Linked DNA regions of Caenorhabditis elegans. The protein of the gene in region 1 interacts with the protein of each later gene in a pairwise test. Each region holds a gene or a part of one and is shown in the gene's direction. Other genes may lie near its edges.

What was found.
Region 2: the proteins of sdz-38 (region 1) and T21B6.3 interact in a two-hybrid assay, tested with the Caenorhabditis elegans proteins (one large-scale study listed by BioGRID).
Region 3: the proteins of sdz-38 (region 1) and ZC123.1 interact in a two-hybrid assay, tested with the Caenorhabditis elegans proteins (one large-scale study listed by BioGRID).
Region 4: the proteins of sdz-38 (region 1) and K10D3.4 interact in a two-hybrid assay, tested with the Caenorhabditis elegans proteins (one large-scale study listed by BioGRID).

Annotation. Positions count from the first base shown.
Region 1 is NC_003280.10:9,979,362-9,985,072, reverse strand, and holds sdz-38 (C2H2-type domain-containing protein), read left to right. Parts: upstream 1-3,212; 5' UTR 3,213-3,277; intron 3,278-3,322; 5' UTR 3,323-3,325; coding exon 3,326-3,665; intron 3,666-3,792; coding exon 3,793-4,061; 3' UTR 4,062-4,187; downstream 4,188-5,711. Other genes in the region: ZK892.6 (uncharacterized protein), read left to right, coding at 4,997-5,083, 5,133-5,314, 5,360-5,502, 5,610-5,711.
Region 2 is NC_003284.9:10,943,331-10,951,926, reverse strand, and holds T21B6.3 (Apple domain-containing protein), read left to right. Parts: upstream 1-2,974; 5' UTR 2,975-3,024; coding exon 3,025-3,082; intron 3,083-3,257; coding exon 3,258-3,338; intron 3,339-3,602; exon of another isoform or gene 3,603-3,666; intron 3,667-3,682; coding exon 3,683-3,769; intron 3,770-4,021; coding exon 4,022-4,249; intron 4,250-4,296; coding exon 4,297-6,014; intron 6,015-6,063; coding exon 6,064-6,194; intron 6,195-6,243; coding exon 6,244-6,300; intron 6,301-6,354; coding exon 6,355-6,460; 3' UTR 6,461-6,767; downstream 6,768-8,596. Other genes in the region: K09C8.7 (uncharacterized protein), read left to right, coding at 610-705, 787-887, 974-1,070.
Region 3 is NC_003279.8:835,411-843,835, forward strand, and holds ZC123.1 (Sperm mitochondrial-associated cysteine-rich protein-like), read left to right. Parts: upstream 1-2,585; 5' UTR 2,586-2,691; coding exon 2,692-2,698; intron 2,699-2,744; coding exon 2,745-2,912; intron 2,913-3,132; coding exon 3,133-3,717; intron 3,718-4,266; coding exon 4,267-4,682; intron 4,683-4,729; coding exon 4,730-5,350; intron 5,351-5,807; coding exon 5,808-6,170; intron 6,171-6,213; coding exon 6,214-6,246; 3' UTR 6,247-6,336; downstream 6,337-8,425. Other genes in the region: cdk-14 (Protein kinase domain-containing protein), read right to left, coding at 6,426-6,566, 7,136-7,264, 7,307-7,451, 7,505-7,687, 8,303-8,425.
Region 4 is NC_003279.8:7,133,372-7,143,422, reverse strand, and holds K10D3.4 (BPTI/Kunitz inhibitor domain-containing protein), read left to right. Parts: upstream 1-3,449; 5' UTR 3,450-3,751; coding exon 3,752-3,929; exon of another isoform or gene 3,930-4,941; intron 4,942-5,210; coding exon 5,211-5,714; intron 5,715-5,933; coding exon 5,934-6,083; intron 6,084-6,172; coding exon 6,173-6,403; intron 6,404-6,456; coding exon 6,457-7,620; intron 7,621-7,690; coding exon 7,691-7,867; intron 7,868-7,914; coding exon 7,915-8,164; intron 8,165-8,219; coding exon 8,220-8,334; 3' UTR 8,335-8,685; downstream 8,686-10,051. Other genes in the region: hpo-11 (Protein kinase domain-containing protein), read left to right, coding at 54-137, 182-441, 887-985, 1,199-1,363, 1,418-1,815, 2,390-2,513, 2,867-2,970, 3,022-3,145; taf-11.2 (Transcription initiation factor TFIID subunit 11), read right to left, coding at 9,249-9,510, 9,582-9,796, 9,979-10,051.

The DNA of each region.
Region 1 (5,711 bases):
CAGTGAGTCTCTCCTTTTCGTCGTTTTCCTAGCAATAGTGCACTAGTGAAAGAATTCGGTTGGCACCATGCCAAAATGAAGAGAGTGTTTGTCAATAAAAGATTGAGAGAGAGAACGAGAGAGAGTTGTAGGGGGAGGAGCTTAGGAGAGTGTGACATTTCCGCGAAATTGATGGGAGGCGGCGGGAATTGGAAATGATGAGATTTAGGTGTTTCCGGTGACATTCGGTGTGCTTTTGGAGATTTAGGGTTAGAGATTCTGATCATTGATAAGTAAAAAAGGAATTCCATTTTTCCATTTTTCCATTTTTGAAATGTCTAGACGAATGGAGTATCTTGATGGATCTCGCCACAAAAAAAGACTACCGTATTTTCACTCGAGCACCCTTGTTTGCAATAATAAAAAATATTTGAAAGCTTATATCTCGGTTCTCTTTGGCTTTATCAAAAATATGTCCACTGACAGTACGTGTGCAAAATATTTGTTGTATTTTGGTTGTTTAAGGTTTTTTGAGAAAAGTTAAGACAACTGAGATTTAGACCAGGGCTGTTGCAAAAAAAAATTTTCGACCAAAAAACAAAAAACAAAAAATTTTTTGGTCGAACTTTGGACCAAAAAACAAAAAACAAAAAATCGAATTTTTCAAAAATACCAAAAAAAAACAAAAAAACAAAAAAACAAAAAACAAAAAAACAATTCAATGTTTGATTTTGAACGGGACAAAACGGAATTTTTCATAAAATATTAAAAATTGAACGAACAGAAGGTTTTTTGTTTAATTTTTTGCGGAATCAGTGCTGTAATTGATTTTTTGGTTTTTTTGGTTTTTTTGGCGTCAAAAAACCAAAAAAACCAAAAAATCAATTTTTCCCAAAAATACCAAAAAAATCAAAAAAACAAAAAACCAAAAAAAACAAAAAAAAAACAGCCCTGATTTAGACCATCAAAGTGGGGGGGGGGGCCTACTGGTAGAAATATGGTATATTAGCCTCCCATTTATAATGTATTTTTAACAAGAAATAATTTAAACATCAAAAGTAAAAAGAGCTACTTGTTGGCGTTTCGAGGTGAGACCCATTCAAATATATCTGTGCGTCTTTTAGTGTGAGTTTCAAAAACTAGGAAATTACGATATGACTGGATTTATAGGTTTGAAATTTTTTTTAAAAACTTTTTTTAAGACGTGAAGCACGCTTTGAAAACTGAAAGCTAACTGAAAACCTATACCTCCCAGTGTGAAAATTTATGTAAACCGAGAACGTGAGAAGCTGAAAAACAACTGGTAGCCCGGCTAACGCTTGTGGAACTCGAATTGCTAGCGGGTATACGAGAGGAAAAAAACGAAAAAGGATGAAAACGAGACGGTGTGTTGTTGTTGTTTTTGACACCGAATGTAGATAGTGGTTGAGTGAGTGAGTGGGAGAGAATCACGATAAAGAAATTTTAAAGAGAATAAAAAGAACGGGAGGTAGAGAGCATTAACAAAACAACAATAACAACTATCGAAATACAAGCGGCGTAATGGGAAAAAAACTGAAAATTAGTAGTCTTCGGTTGGGAGAGGATGTCGGGGGATAGGGAAAGATTGCGTGTTCCGGTTTTGGATGCAGAAAAAAAAACGAAAAATACGGAGCTATGAAAAAATAGCAACCAAAAACCAATTTAATTGACAGTCTCTTCAAAATTTTGAGATTTCATATTTTCATGTTTAGTCGTGAACTCATTCCCAATTGGAATTTAAATACAGAGTTTGTCTTTTGCTTTAATATGTAGAAAATGTAAACATTTTCACTGTGTAATAAAATTCATAATATTTTCAAACGATTATACCTACTGAAACAAAATTGAAAAAGCTGAATTAATTTTGGAATTCCGTTGCATTTGAATTTCCTAACTTGTTTCCGATTTAAAAGCTGCTAAAAGTTTAAACTTTTTTTAAATTTTTTCAAAATATGTTAGATACAAATTTCTTCTGGCTATCAATTTTTTTACAGACGAAAATATCTGAAAATTGGTAAATATTCGTTTCGAATCTTATTTTAGCGAAAAAATCAAGGCAGTCTGATGAATTATTTTAATTGAAATCATTGAAAGTTTTTAAATAATTTAAAATTTTTTTTCAGCTTTCAAGGTAAAGGCTATTGACACCTACAGTACACCAAAGTGATACTGAAACCAGAAAAAAAGACTTTAGAAGTTGTTGAGGTGCTTTCAGTTTTGGTTTCCTCTAATCTCACCAATAAAATCTTCCATCTCCTCCTATTTCTCTCATTTTACGATTTTGTTTGTCCTTCTTCTCTCTCTTTGGTTCCTTCCCATTTTGGTACTAGATACTTGAACAAGACAACGTAGAAAAAGAAGAAGAAGAAGAAGCACTCCACACAAATTAGATCCGCTTCTGTTGGTGTGAAGAAAATGTTGAAGAATAGGAAGAAGAACATGATTTTAATTTCAATGTAAATGGGTGTTGCCTTCCGTTTGCCCACGGAACAAACGGAGTAATTAAATTTTTTATTCAAATGAACAATTTACACATAATCGTCAAAGACGGATTTTCTTGAAAAAGGTCAACTAGATGGAAAAGTCTAGTTCGACAAGTTTCCAAAATTTCCCAAAAATCCCGATGTTAATAAAATTGCATATTGTGACTGATGATGTGGTGTTGAAATTCCTTTCCGAGGTGCTTTTTTCATAGGACCATTATAGTTGAGAATCGAAAAAAATAGAGAAATTCATCGAAAAATGGTGTAGCAATTGAAAAATTATACCAAACATTGGAATATTTCAATTAGAAAAGGTTTTTCATTTAGAAAAGGTAAAAGGAAATTTGGTTTTTAAATTCTGAAAGAACACAAAATTTGCAACAAAATGGCTGCAGGGATTTTTGAAAAAGCTAGTTTGAAGCCAGATATGAATTTTTAAAAATTGGGAAATCTATTAATTTTGCATATAAATGGTCGATTTTATTCAATCTCAATTTGTGCACTAAACGGTATGACTGAAAATTCACTTTTTCTGCTTGAACTCAGCGGATAGCAGACCACTGTTTATTGATTGGATGTTTATAGAGTCCAACCGCAATTTGATACATGAACGCAGTACTTGGTCGGGTGTAAACCTGGTGGAACGCCAGGTTGTCGATGGACTCCGCCTAGTTACCCATCATGACACGTTGTGTATGTAACGAAGACCACACATTCATTCACCACATTTTCCTCTAACCCAGTGTGCTCTTCATTCGGTCTGTATCGAAAGATTGTGTGTTTTCTTTAAAAATGTATATTTTTTCACGACTATTCTTCCTAAATCTCTTTTTTTTCAGAAAATGCCTCCATATTTTTCGCCTAAATCTGAAGCACCAATCTGCGGTTACTGTCAACTTACATTCAGTCAAACGGGCTCAATGACTCGCCATAGGGACAGACTTCACACCAAGAATCACACGTGTCTCATCTGCGTCTCAAACTGTGAAGGTGCTCCGATTCTGGGAGAAAGTATAAAGAAGCACTTGCAACATGCTCATGGATATGTAGATGTACAGTCGTGTAGTTGTTGCCATTGGATTTTTGAGAACAAAATTCAACTGAGAACTCATTTGGACGCAATGAAAGCAACTGGGCAGCCAGGAGACGAGGTGGTACTAGCCAAGGGTACATTTGCACCAGGTTAGTTGAAGCTTTAAAGTAGGCACAAGGATGCCTGGTAAAAAATAGAAAGACGATAGGCAGTTATGAAGACTTGAGTATTAATATCAAATTTATTCACTCTTAAATCTTAGTAAATTATTTTCAGGAACACTATCACAAGCAGCTATTCTCCAATCCAAAGCCTACTCTGCCAATCGACAGCAAAAATGTCAGCAATCACTGAAAGTTGACTCTGGAGGATTCAATGATTTATCGGAAACACAACTCAAATTCATTTTGGACAACTACTCACAGATTGTTGGAGAACTGGAATCTCCCAATCCTAAAATCAGTGGATGCAGAAAGCGAAAATGTGGAATGACAATCCAGCATGTCCTTCGAGACGACGATTTCAAGAAAATCGAATTGTGCTAGAATTTCATTTTATCATCATTTTAATAATTTTTTTGTGATCTATATTTAATTTTTTCTTTGAACAGTTTTTTTTTTAAATGTCGAACAGCGATATATTTTTAATCTCAATAAATTTTTCTTAAAAAATCGTTTTCCACTCTAAATCTTATCAGAATGATGTGCGCTTAATTCCCAAAGTGCATTTATTTTTAGATCCTGTGGAAAATATTTTTAAAAAATGATGTCCTGAACACAGAGACCCTTGATATCAGATTCTCGGGTCATTTTTCTAGTTTTGCTTCGAATTAACTTGTGATTTGAAATGTACAAATACAAATATTGTAACTAGAAATTATTTTAATTGGTTTTTTTTTTGAGAAATGAACAAAAATATTATCGAAAAAATACGATAGCAAATTTTTTAAAATTTATTTTTGATCTACCTTGTTGACTAGACTCCTCCCCTTCCTTCGACGACTCTAAAAATAATCATATTTTCCATCGATTTTTGCGTGTTTTGAAGATCTAGAAGAGTACATGCTCCCACGAGGGTCGTCTCTTTCTCATTGTGTCTGCGCACTCCATCGATTCATCTCTGTGCAGCTGCGCAACTGTTTGATCTACTTGCAATGCGGGAATTTCTGGACACAGATTTCTCATGTGATTTCGAAAGGTTAAGAGCGTGTTTTTTCCTTTTTTTTTGTCAGTTTCCACTGCCCAGAAATGCCTCGCCACAATTTTCCGTTATTGTGTGTCTGTAAGCACCGATAAAGGATGACATTTTTAATTCTATTTAATAGTTAAGAAACATAATTTACTCTAGGGAGAGCATAGTGAAAGTAACATATCAAATTTAAAAAAACAATAATCCAAAAAAGAAATTCAGAAACCATTGTTTTTAGGTCTACTATCTGATGGAGTCTTTTTCAAAGCATGTGGTTAGCCACGCTCCGATCATGTACGACTACACTTGCGAAGGCAGAACACCACGTCCCAACTTTGGTCTGTACAAGCCTCTGAAAAAGGGAAATTTTCCAAAAACCGTATGTTAAATAAAAACGAAATGATAACTTGATAAAATGAATATTACAGAATGACGGTATGCAACACGATTTGGTCAATGATGTCTTGGGAGGAAAATCGAGCAAATATTGCCCATTCATTCTACCTGCCGGAATTGCTAATGATGGGACTTTCTACCTGAAGCTGGATTCAAAGTTTTGGAACGACAGCTATTGGCAGCTAAAATATCTGGTTAACCAGTCGGACTTAATGTTAGTTAACTATCAAAAAGCCACATGTAATATCTTAATTTTCAGAGAAGAAATTGGATGCCTCAACACGCAAGTACCAGAAGCTCCACCATTTTGGAAAAGGCATATTTGCCTTTTTTTTGTAGATGGAAAGGATGTTACCTTCTGTTTACTGGCAACAGACAAAGTGGGACCGTGGTCTGATATTGGTAAGTGTTATACTCACAGTTTATACACTAGTTATACGACTCTAAATTTCTCAAATATTGACGCCCTTAGTGAATGAGAAAATCGTTGCAAATTTTAATTATTGCAGAAGAGACATCAGCTCCGCTTCGCTTTGACTACCACAACCATCTGAGAGTCTGCGTGAGAAAAGACACCATCCAGGAATTTCAATTATGCACAATGGACAGTA
Region 2 (8,596 bases), on another chromosome or scaffold:
TTTGTTATACACACATCACTGAAATGTCTAAACTTCAACATAGTTTAATTTTTTTGGAAATAAATGTGCAATAATTTATTAGAATAATTATCATTCAGTAAAGTTTTTCACCAACAAAGAACATGAGCGAAATTGCCCAAACGATCAAATTAATAATAATAATTTAGTAAAAATTGTTAAAATGCATTATGACGGATAACATTTTAAAAGAGGCTTTATCTTATCTTGTATAATAAAACACATGATAGTTTTATACGATAGAGTAACAGTAACAGTTTTTGTCAATGAACAAATTTTACAGAACAATTTTTATAGAAAGTTTAATTTTCCAATTATTTGAATGTTGGTGAGTATTGTTTTTTCCAACCTCTCAACACCTTTTAATTTCGAAAACAGAATTAATCACCATGAGTGTCAGGGTTCAAATACACCGGTTTCTGAAACAATTCATGTCAAAAATTGAACGAAACCATTACAAAAACTGTGATACATATGACGCCATCAATCTTCGTGTTCACCTCGTTTTACCTCACTAACTGACAACATCATCACGTCGCCTTTCTTTTATTCTTTTCACTTACTTTCATCACTTTTCATCGTTTCCATCTCATGACTGTTAAAATTTACATCGTTAGTTGTTTATTGGTTGGTGCAGTGTTGTCGCAATGGCCGTATGCCCCAAATCACTGGTATGGAGCAAATCAGGTGAGCTAGGTAAACATCAACAATTTTTATTGCTTAAAAATGTTTTTTTTTTTGAGAACATATAACATTTTTGCTTTGCAGGGAAATATACGGTCAGGAATAGTTCCTGATTACAACCCTGTCCCTAATGTCCAAGGAGGTACATTAGCTCCACACATTTGCGGATTCAACACTTTTACAAGGTACGTTAAGATTGCGTAAATTATTTGAAAAAAATATTTGAGAGAAGTTGACACTGACAGCAAGTTATTAAGTTTTTGTTCTGCAGAAAATGTATGGATCCTGAAGGATATTGCCCTGGCAAGTGCATGAACTTCCGTTACACCTACAACACTTTATACGACTGCCGATGTCTTGCGATTTAGATGCGTTTTTCTTTTGAATTTTGAGTTTGGTTTTCAGTTTTAAATGTTCACCCGACCCTCTGTGTATTTGTATATTTGTATGTATTTTTTCATTCCACATTGTTGCACATGTCTGGCTCATATGATTTGCGTATTCGTAATATAAGTGTAATAAATTTTTGTGATACGCTAAGGGATGATGAACGTAAAGAAAATGCTGCGGAAAAATCAAAAAGTGACACTTGTGACGTGGTCACATGCAGTCTGGGATAAAAATCAGAATATGAAATGAGTGTAAAATCTAATTTTTGTTTAAATTGGAGACTGAAAGTAGAATAAACCAAGAGAAGTGGCACATTGAATTTCGGGGGGGGGGGGGGCAGTTTTTTAAAATTACTTTCCGATAATTTGTACTCTCTCACAGTATTTTTGATTCTTACGGCTGCATAATTTCGATTGAGTTTGAAATTGCATTCAGCGTTGTAATGTGCCCAACTGCCAAAATGAGACGACTGGTTTTGGATGTATTTTTTTAATACTTACAGTGAAATTTTTAGTGATTTGATATATTTTAAATCATAAATTATTGTCTCCATAACTCCATTTTATTCACCCACAACTGGTAGTGATTAAGAATGAGCTCTTCACATTTTTTGTAATTCCACCTTAATGAGTCACCGCCTATCAATCATATAATCTTCATACTTGCTTCATTCCAAACTCTCTGCTTTGCTCTTGTCTTGCTCACTTCTCAGCAGAATCTCATGTTTCACCTGAACTTCTTCTTTCTTCGCTTCTCACTGATTCGTGGAAAAAATTGTCGCGTGTGCTTCCGTTGCCCATACCGCTTCTGACTTGCTCTTATCTTTTCTTTGCTTTTCTTTTTCGTTTTTCGCCTGACACATCAGCCACCAAGCTTTTATTAAAACACGAAGGATATGATTTGTTCATCAGCACTTGTCAGCAGCTCGCTCAAATTTCGACGTTTCGGATGCATGCTTTCCTGAAGTTTGCAACCTCGAAAAGCTCGCATGATATGGGTTTGTCAAGAAACCAAAAGTTTCGAGTTTTTGAGTCGATTCCTAGAATGTCATCAATCTCATCTTCGAACATTATAGTATAGTTTCCGAGCAACAAATGACCGCGGTGGACCTCCTCAAAGTGATTTTAAATTGAACAACTGTGCAATAAATAACGAGGATGAAAAATGTGTGCGAAATGTTGTGTTGTGTTGTGAAACGAAGAAAAGTGCCGAGGATAAAATATCACTCAAAGTGGAGTTGATGGATATGTGACGACATAGGGAGGAGAACTTATTTTGTTTAGATATGGGGTTTTAATACACCAAAAGACATATGAATAGGAACAACAAATTCCAATTTCAAACAGATTACCTATGAGAAAAGCAATTTTGTTTTTTTTTTCACTTGAAAGTTTGTATACTTTTTAAAATTAATTGTTTTTTTTTAATCTTTGCTACTTCCTGAAGGCAACATGACTTTCTGACCCGCACAGGTTTGCTCAATTCTGAATAATTTCTGTTTTGGTCTAGTATTTTACTCTTCAAGACTCGATCATAATCAATGCATACTCGCAGGCTTTGAGTTCGATTTGAAAACGTTCTCAGCATCCATTACTGCTTCCTGTTTCTCTCTAACTTTTCTGCTCACCGCACAACTCTTTTTGATCTTTAGCCTCACTTTTGGTTTGAGTAGAAGCGTAGAGCATTTTTCCTTAAAAAAAATAGAAAGAAAAGTTGATACCTCTCTTCTTTCCTATACTACAGTAGTATTTTCAACCCCCTTCCTCATTCTTTTTATCACTCCCTGATGTTTCAGCTTCTTCTTCTTCTTTTTCCTCTTCATCTTCTTCTTTTTCTTACCTCTCTTCTTGTTTCTCGACTCCGCCCAGTATCATCGTCAGTCACTTGTTGTGCACTCTCGTGTCCGCGGTCCCGTCCATTATCAGCCGCAACATGCAGGCTACTGTAGGCTTATTCGCCTTAGCGGTCTTGTTCTGCCTAGCCGACGCAGGTGAGTATATATGTTTATAGATGGAAACTGGTTTGAGGTTCAGCTTTCATTATGAGAGGGCGAGAAGTAAGGTGTAATAGGTAAAAAAATAAAGCATGAACCTCAAGCTTGTCATACACAAAAGGTATTACTAACAGTGAAGTTGATACGCAAGTGTAAGAAAAACAAGTTTCAGGTAGAATCTCGGTATCCAGAGGAAAAAATGTCACAAAAATTGATGATTTGTGCGCCAGAATGCACAACAACACTGCTCTTGGTAAGTTCATTGAATTACATCAGGTCATTTCCCCTGAAAAATTAATATTTTATCTCATCACTATAATTCATTAAACTTCTCTAGGTTTTAAAAACTGTATTGTTCTGAAAATCTTATTTTCCTTTTGAATATTATTGGTTTCTAATTAACATATGCGTTTCACTAAAAAATTGATACAAGTCATCTAAAAACTAGTATTTCTAAAATCATTGATGAAAAATAAATTATTGTTTTAGTTTCATTTATTGACAATTCACGCATTAGGTGTTTGCAGCAAAACAAACATAAATCAATTATCCGTCATTAACTTCGTGTGTGTCCACGTACCACTTTGATTATTTCAGAAGGATCATCTCCATTGCTGATGATGCAGGCAACCGCCTACGAGTGTCAGAAGAAATGCGTGGACATCTTCCCAGAGTGCTCCGCAGGTAAAATTTTCATTTTTGCACCGGATCCTATCCGGCCCAAGAAGATTGATGTGATGTGTCAAGCAATATCTATAACAAATGACACTCATCCGCAAATATCTCTTTTTCTGCTTCTTTAACTGATTGCTTTTGCAAATTTACACTGCCCCTCCTTGATTCGCAAAACTCCGTCTTCGAAATTTGATCTCTGCGTTTGGGGTCATGAAGACTAAAAAAACATTAACTTCACAAAAAAGTTCAACTTGTTTTCAGTGGTTTACTACTACTTGCATAACGAAACAAAGAAGCATTTCTGCTACCTCTTCTCCGACAACTCGGTTCAAGATAAAATTGACCTTGTCGAGCAAAAGCCAGAAAACAAGAAAGATATTGTTAGAATGCTCGAACTGGTCGTCGACTGCCACCAATTTGATGCTCATCCACCACTGGAGGAGGACGGTTTGGCTTCGTCTACCGATAAGGTTGACAGAAAGAAGAGACGTAAGATTTCGATCGTTACTTCGGTTTATATAAAGTTGTGATTTTAGAACAAGGCGATGAAGCTGTTGAAGGAGTCGGAGATTGGACAGATTGGTCCCATTGCTCCAGTAACGGACACGAGGTGCGCTCTCAGGCATGCGAATACGGAAGAAAAATCCAACGTCGTGGATGTCCAGCTAGATCTGCTCCACAAAGAGTCCCAGCTCCACCAGCGCAGCAGTATGCGCCACGTGCCCCAGAGTACCCAAGTGCACAGCAACAGCAGCAGCAAAGGGAACAGCAACAAAGAGAACAACAACACAGAGAACATCAGGCTCGTCTTCAGCAGCACCAGCAACAACAACAACAACAGCAACAGCAGCAGCAGCAACGTCCACCACAGCCACAGCCACAACCACAGCCACAGCCACCACAGCGACCACCACAACAGCCACAGTCCTTCTCTGGAACTCACGAGCTTCATCTTCAAAGGCAGAGAGAACAACAGCAGCAACAACAACAACAGCAGCAACAACAGCAGCAACGTCAACAAAATCCACAGCAACAGCCACAACAGACAACACAGTTCGGACAATCTCAAATCCAACTCCAAAGTGGGCCAGTCCCTCCACAACAACATCCGCAACAGCAGCAGCCACAGCAGCAACCAGAACTTGAGCGTTCTCCACTCGATCAACATGCTCAACTCTATCAGCAGAGAATGTCTCAATACCGCGAGAACTTCAATCAGAGACATCCAGCTCGTCCAAAGGCTGATCCATGCCCAGGAGGTTTCTGCGCCCCAGTTCCACAGGCCCCACAACAAGAACGCCCAACACCACCGCCAGTTCTTGCTCCAGTGATCAACACTGCCACTCAGCCACCACTTCCACAGCCCTACCCAACCAGATATCGTCCAGCTCCCCCACCACCGCCAGCATGCGATGGACAAGGATGTGTCAACCCACCAGTTGTTTCTGGAGTTTGGCATGATTGGTCTGACTGGTCTACCTGCTCATGCACCTGTGGAGATGGAGCTAAATCAAGAAGACGTGAATGCTCCACCAATAACTGCCAAGGAGCTGATTATGAGACTGAGCCATGTAATCTTGGCCCATGTCAGACATGGTCTGAATGGTGCGAGTGGTCAACTTGCTCTGCTAGCTGTGGATCAGGTCAACGCGAGAGAACTCGATTCTGTCATCTTGGTACAAACAGATGTGAAGGAAAGGACTACGAATCTGAGCAATGCAGTGCTGGACCATGCCCAGAATGGTCTCAATGGGAAGATTGGGGACAATGCTCTGTGACTTGCGGACAAGGAGTCGCAGTTCGTCAGCGTACATGTCTCGGAGGTGTTTTCGGTGATCATCTCTGTCAAGGACCAAAGACTGAACAACGTGCCTGTGATGGTGGACCATGCTCTCTTTGGTCTCCATGGCAAGAGTGGTCTACATGCTCGGCTTCATGCGGAAGCGGAATGAAGCGGAGACAACGTGTCTGCCAATTTGGAACTGATTGCCAAGGACCAAACGAAGAGAGCCAATTCTGCTACGGACCTCCATGTGCCGAGTGGACAGAGTGGTGCGAGTGGTCAGGATGCTCTTCAAAGTGCGGACCCGGACAACGGACTAGAACTCGTGGGTGCCTTGGACCAAACGGGCAAGAAGCCACTACTTGCCAAGGACCAAGTATTGAAACTACCCTTTGCGAAGGGCAATCTTGCTGCAACTGGTCTGAGTGGTGTCACTGGTCCATGTGCGACAAGGAATGCGGGGGTGGTCAGGTGAGATATATTGAATATATGTTCAGAACGGGGTAATAATGAATTACAGTCAATTCGCACTCGTACATGTTTGAACAGCGCTGGAAGTCCGGATTCATCATGCCACTGCGATGGACCAGATCGTGAAGAAAAGGAATGTAACAGTCAGTCATGTGCTCCTCAATGCGCTTGGAATACTTGGTAGTTAAAACTGTTACATTGGTATTAATTAGTTTTTTCAAATGTCCAGGTGCGAATGGAGTCCATGCTCAACACAACTTGCATGCGAAGTTGGAGTACAATCTAGGTCTGAAATAGTTTTTGATGAAGACATGTTAAGAATCTGAATTATATCTTACAGAAGCCGTCAATGTGTTGGAGAATCCGGATGTCACTGCATCGGTCTTGCCGAAGAATCCCAGCAATGCCGTGGATTGACTCAGTGCCCACCAAAGCCACCATGCTAATTTTTTGTGTTAAAAAAAATCAGTCAGACAGGGTTACATCGCCCATTTCTTTCATATTTATGTTTTTCAATTTGTACTTATATTCAATACTTTCATACAACACCGCCTCAAATAGTCGAATCTCTATATCTAGTCAATTAATTGTATTTTTCACGTCTTCCATTATGCAAATGCCTTTCAACGATAGGTTAAATTAAAGTTTGTTTTATCTTTGAAATTTATGTTTTAATAGCATTCACTGCCATAATTTGCATTTTCAATGTGGTTTAAATTTTTATTCTTAAATTCTACAATAAAGTTGTTTCACAGCCCATTGAATATAACATCAAAACATACAAGCCAGTTAACATTCAAACAAGCTTTCAATCAAAGTGTTGTACAGTTTCAGAAAACCACTCCTTAACACGAATTTTCATTAAAGTATATTGGTATTTATTAACCAAGTTTGCTGATTTATAGGTAAAACTAAAAATAGAATCAGATGCAGGTATACAATTATCAGTTGTTTAGACTGTCAGCAGAAGATAACATGGGATCAATGCTATTTTTAATTGTTATGTAGTATATGCACCCCTCCATTATCTAAATTATCTCCCCCTTCTAGGAGATTCATACAACTCATTGATTAAACATGATAGAACATATGTACTCGTTGTACTACAAGGGTGCAATACCCAATATTTCTTGTTGCCATCGTCAAAATCCTTCAAGAACAAAATCCTTTTCCTCGACATCTTCATTTGTGGCACATCTTACTTTCCATGTAGATCTTGAAGGATGTGTCAGAGTTTCCGATTCCTATAATAGTTTCTTTACTAAATGTTCCATATTTTCTTGCCCTATCTGAATTCAAAACAAGTTTCTCTTCGGCAATTAAAAAATTGTAATTTAAATTTTTTTTTTTCGTCACCTTTACTAGTGATTATTTTGATTTTTCCACCAGATTATTCTCTTAATGTGATGTTATAACATATTTTTCTACTCTCCTCTCGTGAAAGATTGACCAAGATCTCTTATGTACCCAATGTATTTGAAAAACGCCTATAAATAAATATGCATACATTGCAAACCGTTTGTTGTGGATTTTGGAGGGATGAATTATTTTTTGAACGTTGTTCTTCCGTTTAGCCCGTTTTCTTACAGGTAGTCACAAGTTACTCGCACAATATGGACCACCTCGTTGTATTATCGATTATTGGCCTCGGCGCGTCTATAGATTCGGTACGTACTGAAACAGTTTCAATATGCATAAAGAACATAAACAGTGTTACAAGTTAAAAAATATATAAATGATAAATTCTATTTTCAAACGGGTTTTTTCAGAAACGTGAGAAGAAAAATATTAGCGTTGGAAAAAAGATCGCATTCATAAAGCTTGGTTATTTTTGTACATACAGATATTTATTTTTATATTTTCAGACATCATCGTTATTGTCCTGAGGACAGGTTAAGATCTTAAACGTGATTCCCAAAGTAATATTTATTAAATAATAATAGCAAATACAAGTTGGTTGAATGATTGACTGAATGATTGAGGGGTGCTGCAAGAGGCCAAGAAATAGTCTTATATACGGAAGAGTTGATCGAATTATGTAAATGATGGGGCGACGGCGGTCATGAAATGGAAACCGCGGGAATAATACCGCGGGAATCATAAAACGGGGAAATCAAAGAGCGAGCGATTTGACATCGTTTTTGTAATATTGACTTTGGTTAATCAAATTATTTTTCCTTCCAGGCTTCCATTAATACATCATACCAGAGAGTTTGAATAATTACTTTTGAACTAATCGCTTTCCTGTTATTAGTACTTTTCTGGCCGAACAGCAAATGAACGCGTTTTTGTGAAGACGTTCGACTTCTAATATTACTCTCAAGTGTAATTTTTCAAGGAAATGTTTTTATGCTTTTTGCTCGTATCTTGACCATTCCTAGATTAGATATCCATTTTATAACTGAACTATTCGTCAATAATGTGTCATGATGGAAATTTTGCAACATAGTAAAATCACAAATAAGCCGTTCTAATCCATTGATGAATCATTGTTCAGTACCTAACCTATTTATAAATATATATCAAGAACACCTACACATTCGTATTTTCTGAAGCATAACCAAAATACGAAAAACTGTTAC
Region 3 (8,425 bases), on another chromosome or scaffold:
TTAACCATGCGATATCGGTTGAGTACTCTGCGTCTCTTCTCCCGCATTTTTTGTAGATCAAGCCAAAATGAGACACTATGACACCACGTGTAGACTTAAAATTGACTGAAACCACCGAATTTCATATTGAAACTTCTTGAAATCTATTCAAAAAAAAAGTTATGAAGGCTCAAAAAATGGCCTAAAATTTGTTAATTTAAACAAAAGACACTTAAAACGGTGTCTTTTTGAATTTTTCCGTTTTTTTAAACATATTTTCATAAAATTTACTTATTTTTCAAAATAGATGTTGGAACATTTATAGGATGCGTTCAATTTTGCCATTTGAAATTGAAATTCGGAAATTTCAAAAAAAAAAAAAAAAAGTGCGAAACCAAAATTTTCCGAAAATTTTCGGCAATTTGCCGGTTTGCCGGAAATTTCAATTCCAGCGATTTGCCAATTTGCCGAATGGCCGGAAATTTCAATTCCAGCAATTTGGCGATTTGCCGATTTGCCGGAACCTGCTAACCTACCTACTAACTTGCTAATCTTCAAGGTTTTTAATGAGTTTTCAATAGAAAATTCGGTGTTTTCAGGCAATTTCGAGAAAGCAATACAAACGTTTAACAAAAAAAAGACGCTTTTTCCTCTTATCCGATTCTCAATTCTCAATTTTGCCTTATCAATTTATCCTCTCCTCACAAGGTGACACACACACACACACACACACACACACTCGTTTCTCGACAAAAAGCTATGAGCTAACAAGCGCCTTCTCGCGTAAGAATACATCCACTGATAAGACATCTGATAAGAGTGGAACCCGTCCGCCATTGTCTCGAGAAATACACGCCTCCGCCCGGGAGGACAGGTTATCCCACCTCGTCGCTTCACTTCATTGTTTCAAACGATTCCATCGGCTTGCGCTTGGATTTTCTCTTATGCAACTTGCCATTCTTCTTTTATTGCTTAACATCATGGTTATTTATTAGGGAAATTGTTCTACCCTGACTTGAAATGACTGAAGACGGCCTATTTTACTTTAATTTGAAGACTCAGAAGACTACTATAAGCGGTCATTCTTGTTGCGAAAATTTCTGCATTTAAAGGTGGAGTAGCGCCAGTGGGAAAATTGCTTTAAAACACGCCTATGATACCACAATGACCGAATATCATGATAAAAAAATTCAAAAAAATTTTCTAAATTTTATATGATTTTTTGAAAATTGAAAAAATCTAAGGTTTTCACTTAATTCATATTTGAATTACCGCCAATTGGATTTGCTCGATGGAGCGCACTTGCACGTTTTTAAATTTATTTATTTTATTTTTTGTTATTTTCCACCGATTTTTAATGTTTTCGGTGTATTTTTGCTTGAATTTTAGAGAAAAAGTCAAAATAAATGCAAATTTTCGATTAAAAAGCAAGCGTACAGGTAAATCAGTGAAATTAATCAATTCAGGTTCATTTTTACGCCTGTAAGCGTGCTTTTTAATCGAAAATTTGCATAAAAAACATTTAAAATGGGTGGAAAATAACAAAACATAAAATAAATAAACTTAAAAACGTGCAAGCGCGCTCCATCGAACAAATCCAATTGGCGGTAATTCAAATAGGAATTAGGCAAAAACTGAGATTCTTTCAATTTTCAAAAAATCATATAAAATTTAGAAAATTTTTTTGAATTTTTTATGGTGCGTCCATAGAAAAACCGGAGTTCCTCGCTTTTTTTTCCTCGAAATTCAAAAAAGTAGGCGTGGCCAACCAATCAGCTGTTGTTTCTTGTTTTCTCATTGCTCAGCTTAAAATTTTACAGCCTCTAATTGGTTGAACACGCCCACTATTTTGAAATTGACCAATAACAAAGCGAGAAACTTCTTGTTTTTTCCGCAGACTATGGACGCTTCCGCACGCGGGAAATTCCCGTTTTCCGCAGACTATGGACGCACCATTATCATGATATTGGGTCATTGTGGTACCATAGGCATGTTTTAAAGCAATTTCCCCACTGGCGCTACTCCACCTTTAATGCATTCTGCGTCTATTTTATACAGTTCTGACCATAAAAGCACACAAATTTTTGTCTCAAAGTTTAGGAATATATAGATTTAAGGAAGAAAGTTTTAGTAAGAAAAAATATAGTCTTCTTCATGTTTTCTTTTTTTTTACAATATCCATTTGCCATCCGTTTTTTTTTCTGCAACCTTCGATAAATGTTTGCTTGGATAACTATGTAAGGTGCTTTGAACACTCGGCATTTGGGCTTCTTGCCCAAGTTTAGCCCAAAAATATTAACTTGGATCAGAAGTTGGGCAATACTTTGGCAAAACTTGGATTCAGGCAATATCAAAGTTTAACCCAAGTTTCACCCAACAAACTTTGGCCTAAACTTTTTTTGTTTCGAACTTGCGTAGAAGTTTTTGCCCAATTTTCGCCCAACTTTTGCCCAACTTTTGCCCAAGTTTAGCCAACTTCTGTTCCAAGTTAATATTTTTGGGCCAAACTTGGGCATGAAGCTAGAGCCGAATGCCGAGCTAATTTTATTTGACTCTATCCGAATTCTGCTAATTCTCAAAAATCCCCCAATTGCCAACCATTTCAGAATGCATTGGAGTAGTTGGGCGATAGCGCTCAACGTGCTCGTGCTGGCTTTGGCCGACAGTGCTCCTGAAAGATTCCCAGAGGATCATGTGGACCTGGTACTTCCTATGAAAAGTATCCACCATTTCACCTAAACGTTTCCTAATCATCTTGATTACAGTGAAATACGACAGTCATCTTCGACAAGCTGATCTTCCACCGCACTTCATTGGTGCCAATGAGACGAACTTGGTTCCGCTCACCTTGAGATTGGAGACTAGGAGGAAGAGATGCTCGTGTGGATGTTCGGGATGTGATCTTTTCCCGAATAGATCTTGTTGTTCGAGCTGTAAGTTTGCGATTCTATAAGACTTGTCAACGTGGTGTCAGGCTGACCCATTACGGTTTGATCTATAAAAAATGCGGGAAGTTTATGACCAGAAAAAAATGACGTCATCACATTCTTAACCATACGAAATCAGTTGAGAAATCTGCGTCTCCCATTTCTTCTCCCGCATTTTTTGTAGATCTACGTAGATCAAGCCGAAATGAGACAATTGAAATTCCAGCTTGCTGCTCCTCTCAAAAACCAATCCCACTTGCCTGCTGTCCGCCACCTCCCCCACCAAAACCGTGTTGCCAGCCAGCCTTCGGCCCTTGCTGCCCGGCAACCCCAAACTGTTGCCCGAAACCCTGCTGCCGAGGTCGTCGCCCCGAATACGAAGAGTACGAGGACGAGGAAGGCAACCCTGGAGGCGTCCCAGCACCACCAAACCCACCAAGAACTTGCTGTCCTCCACCAACACCTGCTGCTCCACCACCGCCACCACCTCCACCACCACCGGCTCCGGAAGCTCCAACGCAATGCTGTGGATCACAGCCTTATGGAAGAACACCGTGCAGGTCCGGATGTCCGAATGGAGATTGTGGATGCGGAAGACCTTGCTGTTACTATCAGAACCCCACATGTTGTAATCAAGGGCAAAAGGCTTGCTGCCCACCTGAACAGCCTTGCTGTCCTGAGTTGAAGCTGGATAACTGCCTCGCTTCGGTCCCACCTTGCCTTCGCGCCTGTCCATCGTGCCCTTGCAGAAAACGTCTGATGCTTGGGAAGAGAACTAAGAGAGACGCACCGGGGCTTCATTGCCAGCCAAGTAAGCTATAAGTTTAGATTTTCACGTAGTGTCAGGCTGTCTCATAGTGGTTTGATCTACAAAAAATGCGGGAATTTCTCGCCCAGGAAAATGTAACGTCAGCATCAGGGCTGGGACCAAAAAAAAAATTTTTGGACCAAAGAAGTTTTTGAAAAACCAAAAAAACCAAAAAAAAAACAAAAAAAAAACCAAAAAATTTTTGATATGCTTAAGTTGATTTTTAATGGGGTTATTCAAGTAATGTTGCAAAATGTATTAAAATACATTTATGACGTCACAACTGTGTTAAAATACATGTTTTAATGTATTTTAATACAGAATAGTCTCGAGTCGACACTAGACACGGTAAACTTTTTTTTTAGATTTTTCGTCAAAATACCAAAAAAACCAAAAAATTCCCAACAGCATGTTCTTAACCATGCGAAATCAGTTGAAAAGTCTGCGTCTTTTCTCCCGCATTTTTCGAAGATCAAACCAAAATGAGACACTTTGACACCACGTGGATTTTCAAAACGCTGAAAATAAGTAAAATAAATAAAAAATTTTCAGTCGGACTCCTTGGTCAACAATCCCCACCGACTCTGATTTCAAAGCCGGTAAAGACCATAATAAAATCAAAATCCCGCGTTGCTGGAACCAAGACATCTCAAGTGTCCGTCACCAAAAAGCTCATCGAACAATCCTCTGACCACGTGGAATCGCCTCCAACAGCCGGAAGACTCTACGACTTCCGAAGAGCCCACGTTCGAGTCAAGAGAAACATGAACTTTGGAAATGGAGCATGCCAGCTGTGTCTGAACGGAACTCCGCTCAAGAGAACCAAGCGGTCTCTCGATTGTGTTCCGTGTACCTACCTACAACCACAATACTCTGATTGGAACCCGTTCCTCGGAGATCAAACGCCACGCGGATCGCAGTCGCCAGTTGGAACTCCACTCGCCGGGCACAGAACTAAGAGAGCTGGCGTGAGTTTGACTCATAGAAATTAACGAAGCTAAATTTATTTTTGCAGTGCCTTCCTCATCCACAATGTACCCTGCATGTCCGTCGCTATAAGAGAAACCTGATCGGATCCCAATATTGTGAGCCATGCAATGGACACTACGGTAGAAAGAAGCGGGAAGCCGAGAGAGATCAGTGCTTGAAAAGAGAGAAAAGATATGCAGATGAACAGTGTGATAACGATGAGTTCAGTATCAATGAGCGAAGCAAACGACAAGCCTACAATCCAAAAGGAATTTTGGATATCGTGAAGCTCCTATCCAAGGCCTCCTCAGGTGGCAACAATCCAGGAGGATGCATGAAGTTCCCAGCCTGTGTTCTGGCTCAGAAGAAGAGAAGAAAGAGAAATGCAGATCGGCTCGACACGTACTACAAAGCTGTGGAGGAGCACAAGAAGCTGGTGGAAGAGTACGAGATGGCGATGGAGGAGCACAAGAGAGTCAAGCGGCAGTTCTTCGCTCCGGATAATGCTGCATCCTGTGTTCCGTGTCCGGCATGGGTGACACTTGCCTTGGCTAGCAGAAAGAAGAGAGAAGTCGAGAAGGTGGAGAAGCATATGACGATGAGCGAAGCTATCGCGGATATCAGAGCAAAGAAGGGGTATAAGGAAGGATTTGATGATGATGATGAGGTGAGGACTAGACCTGAAATTTTAGATCCTGTAAGAACTTTTTGAAAATTCCAAAAAAAAAACCCCCTAATTGAATCACGCGCGCACGCGCCACTGAGAAGGATACTGTATTCGCGGCGAGACCACCTGCACATCTAACTCCCAAAAGTGACGAATTTGGCCTAAAATGGACTTTCTTCATGGGATTTCCACAGTTTTCACCATTTTTTTGACACAGTTCATGACTTTTTACACTCAAAAAATTATTGGCGTGGTCATTTCACAATGATTTCAACAATTTACTGGATTTTACGCGTGTACTTCATCGTGGCACACCAAAAATTGATCTGGTTCATGTGGTGTCAGAGTGTCCCATTTTGGTTTGATCTACGTAGATCTACAAAAAATGCGGGAGTTGAGAGACGCAGAGATCTCAACTGGCGTCACATCAATGCGGATTTTAAAATTTTCATTTCAGGACGACGAATCCTCTGAGGAAACCATCGAGACCCGCAGAAAGCAACGCCGCTCCTGCCAACAAAGTGACGATTGCCTGAACAACGTCGAGTACGCAGTCTTCCAAAAAGTCTATGCAGACAAGAGAACCAAACGAGAAGCCGTGTTCCGTCGTAAGAAGTGCTCGAGGTGTGGAGTCTCTGGGCTCACGCCACATCGTGTCAAGAGAAACTTCGGGCAGCCGAATATCAACGTCTCGGAGCAGAATTGCATGGCATTCCCACAGTGTCGGCATAGAGTGAAGAGAAACTTTTTGGGAGAAGACTGTAACATCTGTACACAGGATACTGGTCTGAAGCGGAGGAAGAGAGACTTCGGAACAGCGGTAGGTGTTGGTTTAATGAGCTTCCTTATCTTAAAGTTTTCAGCAATGCTACCCATGCCCAGGAACACGTTCATAACTTGAAGCGACTCCCTCCGATTCTCACATATCACATAAATACCACCTCGTAATAATAATTCAACATGACTAATAAAACAAATAAGTACATACATACATTTATATTAGCTTTTAGCACCCGTAGCAATTTGGAGCAAGAAAATATGTGTAAAGAAATTGGAGATGTAGTAGATTTGGTCGTTATAGTGATCGCAGATCTTTCAGCTCTTTGAGCCGGAATATTGACTGGCTTGGAGCCAGGAGATGAACCTCGCGGGGGAATGAGGCAAAGTAGGGGTGAAGCATTGCACTGGCTGCGGAGACACGGCTTTCCGGGCGGAGCTGTAATTTTGAGGGTTACAAGATAGGTGTAGCTCGATGTCGATTCATTTAGACTAGCATTGCAGCCAGGGCTTAAGCTTTCGGCTTGAGCTTGCACTCAAAGATTGCTGCTCAATATAGCTCGCGAAGACTGATTTGTCAAAGATTAGACTAGTAGGCCTGGACTGACTTAAAGGTGGAGTAGCGCCAGTGAAAATTTTGTCAAAATACATACATAATGATCCGAAAAAAAAACCAAATTTCATAATAAAACAATCCAAAAAATTAGATTTTTCACAATTTCAGGTCAAATTTTTGGCAAACTGCTAAAATTTTGAAAAATGAGCAATTGAGGAAATCTAGAGCAATGTCGCATGTTCCGACCCCTACAATATTTTAATACAAATAATTAAAACACAATTACAGTATAAAAATGTAGGAAAAAAAATTTTTTTTTTGTTGGTCGACTTCCAAAATTATGAGTGGTAAAATTACAGTAAATAAAAAATTTTCAAAATTTTTTTGAAACGTTTTATTATGATATTCGGTCTTTTCGGGACTAAAGGAGTGGTTTTTACAAGTCTACTTACCTGAAGAAGCATCCCCAGAAGTTCCTGACCAGTCTTCAGAATCTTCGTGAACATCGGGTTCACCGCGATGAACGACAACTCCCGATACCTGGGGAACAGTTCAGGGGTGTAGCCTGGTAATGTCTTTACCTGAAACAAACATCTTTATCTCTAGATTTTAGATTCCCTCACCTCCGGCCACTTTTTCTCGTCTGGAGTACCCCGAATGCTGAAGATCATATCCAACTGGTCCTTGGTGCCGGGGTAGTGAGAGTCCTTGGATCCCGGGAACAAAGCGGCGCCCGTGCAAATTTCAGCGAATATGCAACCGACTCCCCTGCAAAGTTAGTAGATATAGTTGGTACCTTTTATAAAATAATATCCTCCTACCACATATCCAGGGAAGTTGAATAGTCGGTACTTCCCATGAGAACATCAGGCGGGCGGTACCATAAAGTGACCACCTCGTGAGAATATGTCCTACTCGGCACAGATTTCGCCCTGGCTAGACCAAAGTCTGCGAGTTTTAAAACACCGTCTTCGTCGAGAAGCAAGTTTTGTGGTTTTAAATCTCTGAAAATCAGTTTTTATCAAGAGTTATGGCCGCAACGGCGCCTCCGCCGACCCCAGCGGTCGCCGCGCCGGCCTCCGCGGAACCCCGAAAATGTCCGCCGCTCCAAACAACCACTTTTTTGCACTACGTTGCGCACACACCAGGCTACTCATTTCACGCCAAGCTGCGGAACACCGAACGTGTCCGCCGCTCCAAATAACTCCCTTTCGCAATACGTTGAGCACACACCAAGCTGCGGAACTCCCAACGTGTCGGCCGCTCCGAACAACCACTTCTACGCACTTCATTGCGCACACACCAGGTTACTCATTTCACGCCAAGCTGCGGAACCCTGAACGTGTCCGCCGCTCCAAACAACTCCCTTTCGCAATACGTTGAGCACACACCAAGCTGCGGAACCCCCAACGTGTCGGCCGCTCCGAACAACCACTTCTACGCACTTCATTGCGCACACACCAGGCTACTCATTTCACGCCAAGCTGCGGAACCCCGAACGTGTCGGCCGCTCCAAATGACCACCTTTCGCGCTTCAACGGCGTCGGCGTGAGGCCCGAATTTCGCGCCTCACTCTGCTGGGAGCCCTATCAACACTAGGGAGCAGTTTGAAAACTAACCTATGAAGAATCTTCTTCCTATGACAAAAATCGAGTCCGCGGAGAAGTTGAAAGAGGAGAAGCTTGATGTCAATGCTATCCAACCCATAGACGTTCTGCTCCAGGTACTTGCTCAAATCCATT
Region 4 (10,051 bases), on another chromosome or scaffold:
CTACTCTCTTCCTTCTCACACATCTTTTTTTGCATAAAATAACATTTTTACAGTCGCTCCGGATGCCATCAACCATCACGTGAAGACATGCCGAGAGAATATGAGATATATGCACTACATTGCTCCGGAATACGAAAGTAACATTAAATTTTGAAGAACTGATCTAATATCTGTTATGAAGTTTTAGACAATACTGAGCTTACGTCGGCAGCCGACATCTATTCATTTGGAATTTGTTCACTGGAAATTGCAGTAATCGGTGGACTTTCGGGATGTCAGAATGGAAGTTCAGAAGGACCAGTCACCGAAGATGTCATTGAAAAAGCGATTCGATCGTTGGAAGATCCGATGCAACAAGATTTTATACGACAATGCCTCAGAAAAGATCCAGCTGAACGGCCTTCAGCAAGAGAACTTTTATTTCATCAGATACTTTTTGAGGTACGTGGATGCCATAAGATTTGCCAAAAAAAAAGCAAAAATGTGAAGTACCGTCTGTGAAAAAATGGTTTGAAACTATTTTTCTATGGATCTGAAATTACTAAATGCAAGAGTAAAACTTTTATTTGAAATTTATTATTTACAGTAAAAAAATTGACTATATTTTTAAAAGGTTTTGCCATAACGACCAAAAACAATTCTTTACAAAATTTTTAGATTCTAATTATGTTAAAATTAATTTTATCTAAAGCCGATGTGTACTCTAACATATAAAATTTCTATTCATTTCTCAAAAACTCAATTTTTTTTAAAAATTTGGTATTCTGCCAAAAAAAAAACCTTTAAAAAATTCCAAGTGTGGTAGTTGTATACTTCGCGAGTCAAAAAATTTCAAATACAAATTTCAATGACATTTTTTTCTGAAGCATAATTACCAAAATTTCAGGTTCACTCATTAAAATTGCTCTCTGCGCACGCAATTGTCGACTCGAAAAAGTATGAAGATGTTTCGGAAAGTGCATTCCGAATAAAAGACAATGAAACAGTAAGTTGAATCCCCACATAGACTAATGCGTTCTAAAAGTTATCGGGTAAATGGCCATATGAGGAGTTCGTTTTGTTGTTACTCTTTCCCCCCTCCACAAAAGTAAATATTTGATTCGTCGGTCACTTTGTCGGCGCTTCTCGGTTATCTACACTACCTTTTGATCGAATACAGTGAACTAAGTACATTAATTTAAACTACATTGTTTTTCAGATTGCTGCAACGTCGAAATTAAGAGAGATGGCTTATTGCCAAGTGGCCGCATTTCAAGTTGATCTAGAAAAATTTCTCGATGATGTTCGAAATGGAATTTATCCATTAACTGCATTTGCACCACTTGCACATCAACCATCTACAACATTACGGGCATATTCGAATGTATGAGATACAGAAAGAACTTGTGTAAATCTATGAAAATTATAGAGTTTTCAGACTAATCCATCGACTTTGATCACTACGGATATATCTGCTCCTTCATCAACGCATCCTTCAGCCAACTCAACAATCACTGCAGAAACATCAGTTAATACTAGTTTACCTGGTCAATCATCACAGCCAAGTGGTACAACAACTAATACAAATGGACCATCTTCCATCGGTAAATCAGCAAGTCCTGAAGCAGTTGATAAGAAAATCGGTGAAGTTACGAGTACGGAATCAACGAGTAAAGTCGAAGTTGAAGTCAATGGAGCAAATGTTACAATAGGATCATCAAATGGGCGTGATGCTGGATCACCGACTCCGGAAGAAGAAGGAGAACCAAATGGGGAGAGAGATATGCGGTTAGAAAATAGACACATTTTGGAGATCAATGTGCATATTGAAAATGAGTACGTTTCTTTTCTTTCAAAGTATACTTCCTGAATCAGTTCACCCTTTCCTGATAGAATTTTAAATAAGACCCGAAATTTGATGATTCGGGTCTCGACACGAAAAATTTAATGTTAAATGCGAAAAGGCGCGCGCCTTTAAAGAGTACTGTAGTTTTAAAACGTATTTGCTTCGGAATTACAATAGACTTTTCATAGTTTTTTGATGAAAAGTTTAAATATTTAAAAAATAAATATAAAAGTACAACAATTTAAATTTGGACAAAACCAAGATAAAAACTATGAAATTTTGATGAAAATTTTGTAGAAGTTTGAACGAAAGTTACTAACTTTGTATATTATATATTTTTCAAATACATAAATATATTTTTATCGGAAAACTATGAAAATCGATGGAAATTCCGAAGCAACTAGATTTTAAAACTACAGTATTCTTTAAAGGCACCCACTTTTCTGAATTTGCGAAAACAATTGTCGTGTCGAGACCGGGTATCGTATATTAGAGGAAAAAAGTGCAAAGTTCGCATCTGATGAAACCTGATGTAATTATTTACATTAACAAATTAATTTTCAGAGAAATGTCAATTGTTCTTCTATTAGAAGATCAAATGCATCGGCAATTAACAACGTCGATCAACAAGGGTGACAATCCAGAAACTTTGACTGAAAATCTGATTACACACGGTTTTATGTGTCAGGTGAGTGACTTTGTTGGCGTTCTCCCTTAAACTTTTCTTCTCTTCGCTCACTCTAAGTGGAGAATGCAGAAAAGGATAATCTGCTGATAGAGAGACTCTTACGGCTTTCTCAACAAATAAGGACACCGGCAAACACACTGCACGTTGGATGATGGGGGGGGGGGGGGGTGACCTTTTTTTCTTGGTCTATCGAGTTGCTCATAATGATGCTTATCCTCTATAGCGCTAGCGCACGCTGATGGTCACTCGACACATAGCTAACAAACATGCGCGTTGAAAATGATAATATGAGAAGAAGAGAGAATAAACCAAACACTTCAAAAAACACATAAATATCAAAACTTTAATTTCAGCTGGATTCGGAAGGAGTCGAAAAAGCAATTGCAGTGGCTTTTGATATTCGTGCTGCTCGTATTGCAGAAGGTGTTCAGGAAGAGGAGAATGAAACATCAACGAGGTAAATTTCAAAATGAAGTTTTGAAAAACTTTTTAAAAATTAATTTTTCAGAGAGTCAAACTCTGAGGCTCCAATTGAAAACGGTACTTCAAGCTCGATAACGAATTCGGTAAAACCAATTGTTGATTCGGTTGCTCCTTCATCTCAAACACCAACAACAACAACATCTTCCTAGTCTTCAATTTCTGTTTCCAATCATCTCCATCCCTCCATCCCTCCCCACATCCCCGTATTATATTTCCTGTTACAGTTTTTCTCTGTTTTTGTCCAGTTTCCTCTTGTTCCTTTAACCATTTCTGGTGATTAGATGGGGATCTTTTTCTATTAACTCTTTTCTCTTTGAATAGTTCAATATGGGTCAATCGGTATGTCTAGGTTCTCTTATTCACTAACTGCGAGAGCTCTGTGCGCATTTGTTTACCGAGAATTAACCATTTCGATATTGTGAGAGAGATCGCGCTCAAGAAAGATGGGACGACAGTTCCGCCCAGGAAGTAATAGAGCAACGACTGGGCGGGTCTCGGAGCCACCGCCGTGAGCACCACCAAGTCCATAGTCGACGGGTTGACGGTGACTGTGTGCTGTATAGAGGTTTGTCTGTTCGTGTTGACTGACTCTCGGCCCCTTCTAAGATATTTGGTAGTGGTATTTGCGGTCGTGCGAAGAGACGACGGACACGGTCAAACGCCCGACAAATCGTTTGTCCCCCCACTCACTCCCCCCATTATTCCCTATTGATCACTGTGATATAGCAGTTTTCAACAAACGATAAGCGAGCACAATGCTTAAATTAGCGGCTCTGTTGCTGCTTGCCGCTATCGCGGTCCGTGCCCAACACGGAACCGTAGGACGGCCTTGTGAGGTCTCCACAGATTGCGGAACCGGAAATTATTGTGCTGGAAATAAGCGATGTGCCTGTCTGACGACATATGTCGAGATTGATTCTTATTGCTGGAGAAGTAAGTATTTGATAAAATAAAGAGAAACGAGATTACTGTAGATCCCCATACTGATCACCTTCCCCCATTCTCGCTGTGCTAGCTTCTCGCCTTCTCGCTTTCTAACTTTAATTCACATTCTTCTTGTCGTTTTCATCATTATTCATATTTCACGTACATTTGTGTATTCATGTTGAATGCATGCGTTTTTTCATGTTAGGCACTTTTCCGTTTTTCCCCTTCATAGTCCCATCAAACTTTCATTTCAATTCTTCGTTTCCTTTTTATCTATGTGAAAATGGCATCGAAAACGTCTAGATTCCCTACAACGATTCCCGTAACACGGGCTCCAAAATTTCTAGGTTTTTACCCGATATCCGCCGTGAGTTGCTCGGGTCGTGCCAACTTCTAAAATGAGATCTCTTGGCACAACGAACCGAAAACTCCCGGCGTCTTCGTTCCCCATCCAGTTTGTTCTCCTAAGCTCATATCGTGGCCCCATCCCTTTAGACTTTCTTCTTTGTTTCTCACAATCTATATTCTTTTTATTTTGGCAAATACTATGTATGGCATTTTAAATTGTGATTCTATGTATCTTCCAACGAATAATGCCATACAAAGAATTTAGTATCCTGATTCGTTTTATCTCGCGCTGTTATCCTCGTCTCCCGTGTTTTTAGTATACCCTAGGTCCTTCTATTTTCTTCTCTTGTCAAAACGAAACATCCAGAACCAACACGGATGCTCATCAACATTATTTTTTATTGTTTCGTTTCATTGCTTATCGTCGTCGTTTTGCTGGGTTGTTGTTCTCCATCCTGGCGGGTTGCTCTTTTAACTTTTTTCTCCTCATCCGATTTTAGTTGTCGTTTCTGCAAAATTTGAGTCACAAAAATGCCACCAGCGCAAGCACACACACATATATAAGCCTAACTTATTTTGCCACCGACTGCTTTTCTCTTATTTTCTCTTTTCTTACCTTCCTTGTGAACCATTTTCTTCTTTGATGCATAAATAAATTATGAATTGATTATTCACTTTCTCAATCTTTCAAACTAACACCTAAATCGTTTTTTTGGTACATCAGTAAACGTTTTTAAGCAATTTGACCCTTTATGATACAGTTTTTACGAAACAATTTGTAACAAACAAATGTTGAAAAGTGAGGATTTAAACTCAATAAACTCGTTTCGCACGAAAAATAAATTTCCAATTTTCCATTTCTTGAGTCATAAGTGAAAACTGCAATGTAGTTGAAATTTTTACTAATTTTCTTCAATTGAAATGAAATAATATATTTAGAAATCAATCCGGGAGAGTCTGGATGTACACAAAATCGACAATGTGAAGCCGTTTGGCCAGGTGCATACTGTAGATCAGGAGAATGTCGATGTGCCAACAATCAACCACCATTCCGTACTCGTGATGGTCTTGTGTGTCTCAACTATGGATTCTGTCCACTTAACGGAAATAATCCAAAGTTCCGCATTGAAAACCAAGTTCAACAGTGCTACGGAGGAGCCGATGCCACGTGTGAAGCTATTGGAGCTCTTTCATACGATTGTATTTGTGATTCTGATGATTGTACCGTCAACAATCCTATCAGTTTCTGTTGTCCATCACGTGCATTTGCTTGTATTCAACCACCAAATGAAGGATACACTCCACCAGGTGGTGGTACTACTTTGAATCATTGGTACCATGACCCAATTACCGGAGAATGTAGAGAGCTCAAATATCAAGGATACGGTGGAAATGCCAACAACTTCCAGACAAAGGATCATTGCGAGTCTTACTGTAAACAAAGTGAGTTTATATTTATTGAATGAAATTATATGGTTAATTTGCGATGTATACATATAGCCTCAATGAGCACAGTAGACTCAGTTTAATAGTCTATATGTGAATCGTCCTACCACCATGCCAATAGTGTGAGGTTGCTGACGGACACATAGAAAATTAACCGTGTTTAACAACTTCCAATTTGAAAAAGTCAAATTCTACTTTAAAATTAAAACTGTTCAGCCTGTAACCGCGGTCTTCCATTGTATCGTGACCGTACAACTGGAGTCAAACAAGAGCCAGTTTATTGTCAAGGAAATGACAATGGATGTAACAACCCGAACTATCAATGTACAACCATGGGAACTCTTCAACAATGTTGTCCAACTTACTGTAAGTTTATGAGAGTTTACCGAATTTTGATATTAAGAGAATAAAACCTTTGAATATTCAAGATGGTACTTATTAATTTAAATTTTTAGTGTTCATCTGCTCTCGAAATGGAGGAATTCCATCAGAAGTCTACAATACAGCCGGAGGTCTACCAACCGAATACTTTGATGTCGGAATCCCAGATGGTTCTGGAAACACTTCGCCAAGATTCTACTACGATTCGCGAGAAGGACGTTGTATTCAATTCTCGTATCTCGGACAGGGAGGAAACTTTAACAACTTCCTTTCTCAAGATCACTGTGAGAAATTCTGCTCAAGAAGTAAGGAAACTGTTTTCTTTGAAGAATTTTAACTTTAAACATGTATATTTCAGTTCTCTGTTCTGCTGGAGAACCACTCAAGGATTCATCTGGAGAACGCAACATGGAATGCTCACCAACTGGTTCTGGAGCCAACTCATGTCCATCTACTCACTCCTGTGAGTCTACTTCTGGCTCAACTACTTTCGGAGGAGTCTGTTGTCCACGTCCGCAGTACGTGTGCAAGTTGCCAAGAGAACAAGGTAACTGTGGAACATATTCCAATCGTTGGTGGTTCAATGCTAAAACCGGAAACTGCGAAGAGTTTATCTATTCTGGATGTCAAGGAAATGCTAATAACTTCGAAACGTACAAAGAATGCCAAGATTACTGTAGAGATGCTCGCAGTGAGCCACAATGTATTCAAGGAACCGCTCTTACTGATTCCAACGGAAACTTCATTATCTGTGGAGGATCTTCAGCTGCTTCTACCACCTGTCCAGCTAATCATTACTGTTATTATGATGGAACCACCTATGGATGTTGTCCAACTCAAGCTTACACTTGTTCATTGTCTTACAAATCTGGAGCATCTTGTGGACCAGCTGTCACTCGTTGGTATTATGATTCTACAACTAGAACTTGTCAGACATACTCTTTCAATGGTTGTGATGGAAACTCTAATAACTTTGCCACTCAACAAGATTGTAAGGATTACTGTAGAGTTGAATCATGTCCAGATGGAGGAGAAGTATGGAAGGAGCAGAATGGAGCAGCACGTGCTTGTACAACTAACCGACAATGCCCATCTACTCATTACTGTACACCAGTTACCACATGGACTGGAACCGTTTACCAAACAAAGAGTCTCTGCTGTCCATCAAAGAATTTCGTATGCTCTCAACCACGTGACGTCGGAGTTAGATGTTCTAGCACAAGAATCTCCAGATGGTACTTCAATGCTGATTCAAAGACATGCCAAACATTTGAATATAATGGATGTGAAGGAAATCGCAATAACTTTGCTTCTCAAAAGTCTTGTCAAAACTATTGTCTTTCGGAAGCCTGTCCACCAGGAACTGTTGTTGCCAAGGATGGAGATGGAAGCAGACTTGTTCAATGCTCAAATCCAGGTGGAAATGGAAGAGTTTCCGGTGGTTGTCCCGATGGTTACACTTGTTATTCTTCACCACTTCTTGATCAGAATGTTTGCTGCGGAGCTTCGACTGAACTTCAATGTTAGTTTTTTTAATTACAGCTTCTTAAACATACTTTTTATCTTTCAAAATTCCAAAAATTAATTTCCAGCTCTCTGCCCTGCTGCTTCAACTCCATTCATTTCTGCTCTCTCACTTCAACCAATGCAATGTACTCCAAATGTTGATGGAGCTTGCCCTGGAAACTTCTTCTGCTGGTTCTCAACTACAACAACATCAGTCAATGCTTTCTACTGCTGCAGATCCCCAGACTCTGTTGATACAGGATGTAAGTATCTTCGAGTTAACCCTCATAATTTAGTCATTTTCTTTTAGACTGCCCACCACAACTTGTTCCTGTACCAGGAGAAAACGGAGCCCAGTACAAATACTGCTCTCCATCAGCTCCACTCAATGACGCCATCCAGGGTTGTGGAGCCAACAGACATTGCCAATTCTCCACTAATTTGGAAAGATATATCTGTTGTGGACTTGAGTCAGATGTTCGATTGCCGAATGTTTGCCCACCACAACCAGCTAATTTGGTTCCAGTCGAGTTGGCTGGAAACTATAGGACGTGCAATCCGTAAGTGAAATTTGATTTGAAAAATTGAATGGTTTTCAATTTTGTATAATTTTAGATATGCTCGTGCTGGAACTCCACAATCTTGTCCAGACAACTCAGCATGTCTTTACACGGGCAATGACAATGGATTCATCTGTTGCAGAGTTCAGTTGGGAAATGGAAAGAGTTAAACAAGAGCTCCGGGGTTCACGACTTTGTTCTCTAAAATTTCTAAATTCTTTCATTTATTTTTTGATGTTTTTTCTTGACTTTTTCGCCATCTCATTCCCACGTACATGTGTATTCCCCACCAAACAAATAATTTTTCTGCATAACTTACACTGTACGGTTGTCTGTTTTTCCTCTATCAATTGTTCATTTTCCTCTCATTGTTTTTCCATGTAACTGGAAAAAATCGATGCCAAAAAGAGCCTGAAAATCAGAAATCTATATTTTCAAAGTTCTGTTTTGACGTCAATCGTATTGCTATTTTTAGCTATGTTTTGAGTTTTCTTCTTTTGAAATAAAACGAAATTTCCAATTCTAAGTTTCCCATTATGTGAAATCAGAAGGCTGCCATGTTTAAAGTGTAAAAAGTTATTATTGAAAAGTTAAAATATCAAGATGGTTAGAAGATCATACTCAACTCGTGAGCATTTTTCTTATCTAGAAATGTTCCACTTTTACTTTGCTCAAGTAGAACTCTACTGGGGGAAAATTACAGAAATCGAAAATTTTTTTTGGTGCCCGCGTTTCCTTTTTCAAGACTTCGTGTACGAATTCATTCGTTTTTTAAAATGAATTTAGATTTTTTAAATTAGGTGTTGATTCAAATGTTTTTGAGAAAAACGATAACCATCACAATCATTTTTGAGAGGAGACCAGATTCAATCTACAGTACCCCGGCATTTTTCTAATTCAAGTTTATGTGGATTGGAAGGTTATTTTTATGGAAGTATAGAAATCATTTACCACTTCCAATGATTCATTTCCAATATAAACCAAAAATATAGACAACTTTGTCACAATAGAGATCGATGAAATAACAATATAAACAAAAAAACACCCATATTGTTCGAAAAAAGTTCTTCTCTGGCAATAAAGCTCAATTATTTCCTTGTCCAAATGACGGTAAGAGTTTTCCCTGTTCTCCAAGACGAAGATATGCCTGACGAATGTGATGTGGCTGGAGTGGTTCTTTTGCTTCTTTTTCATCCAAATCTCTGATATCAAGAGCTTCTTCAACAATTTCGCCAACCAACACTTTTGCCAATCCAGCTACTGCAATATCTACCTTTTTTCCAAGGTCAATTCCTCCAGTGAATTCATTGATAAGACGTTTGATTGTGGACTTTTTAAACGATGATCTGTAAAAATTAAGTTTTATACAAAGGAATTCCATGGCAATCTGTAATTCAAAAATGGAAAATCAACTCACTTTCTATAAACCTCGTATCGTTCAATTTGTTCTTGTGAGAAGTTGGCAACGAGAACTTGATTTTTCAATAGAATAATTTCCTTCTCTTCTTGCTCCAGAATTTGCCGTTTTGTGGGTGGGGGACCGGCTGGAATTTCCGGAGAAGCAGCTCTCATCGCGTTTTCTTTTTCTTTTTCCTCGCGTAATCTTTTTCTTCGCTGCTCTTCCTCCCGAACCTGAAAATTTGAAATTAGTTTTTTTTTTTTAAATATGGTCAAAGTTTTGACAAAATGCCAAACTAGATGAAAACTTTTGAAATAATTTTTTGAAATTTTTCAATTGGATTTTTGATCAGAAAATGTTCTATAGAAGTGATTTTGAACACCCCCTGGCGCTATTCAGCTTTCAATTAACATACAGATTCTTTGAAACAAGCAGTGAATTGACTAGTTCCCTGTCCGTCAACGATTTCTCTAATGGGCTTTCCGTTG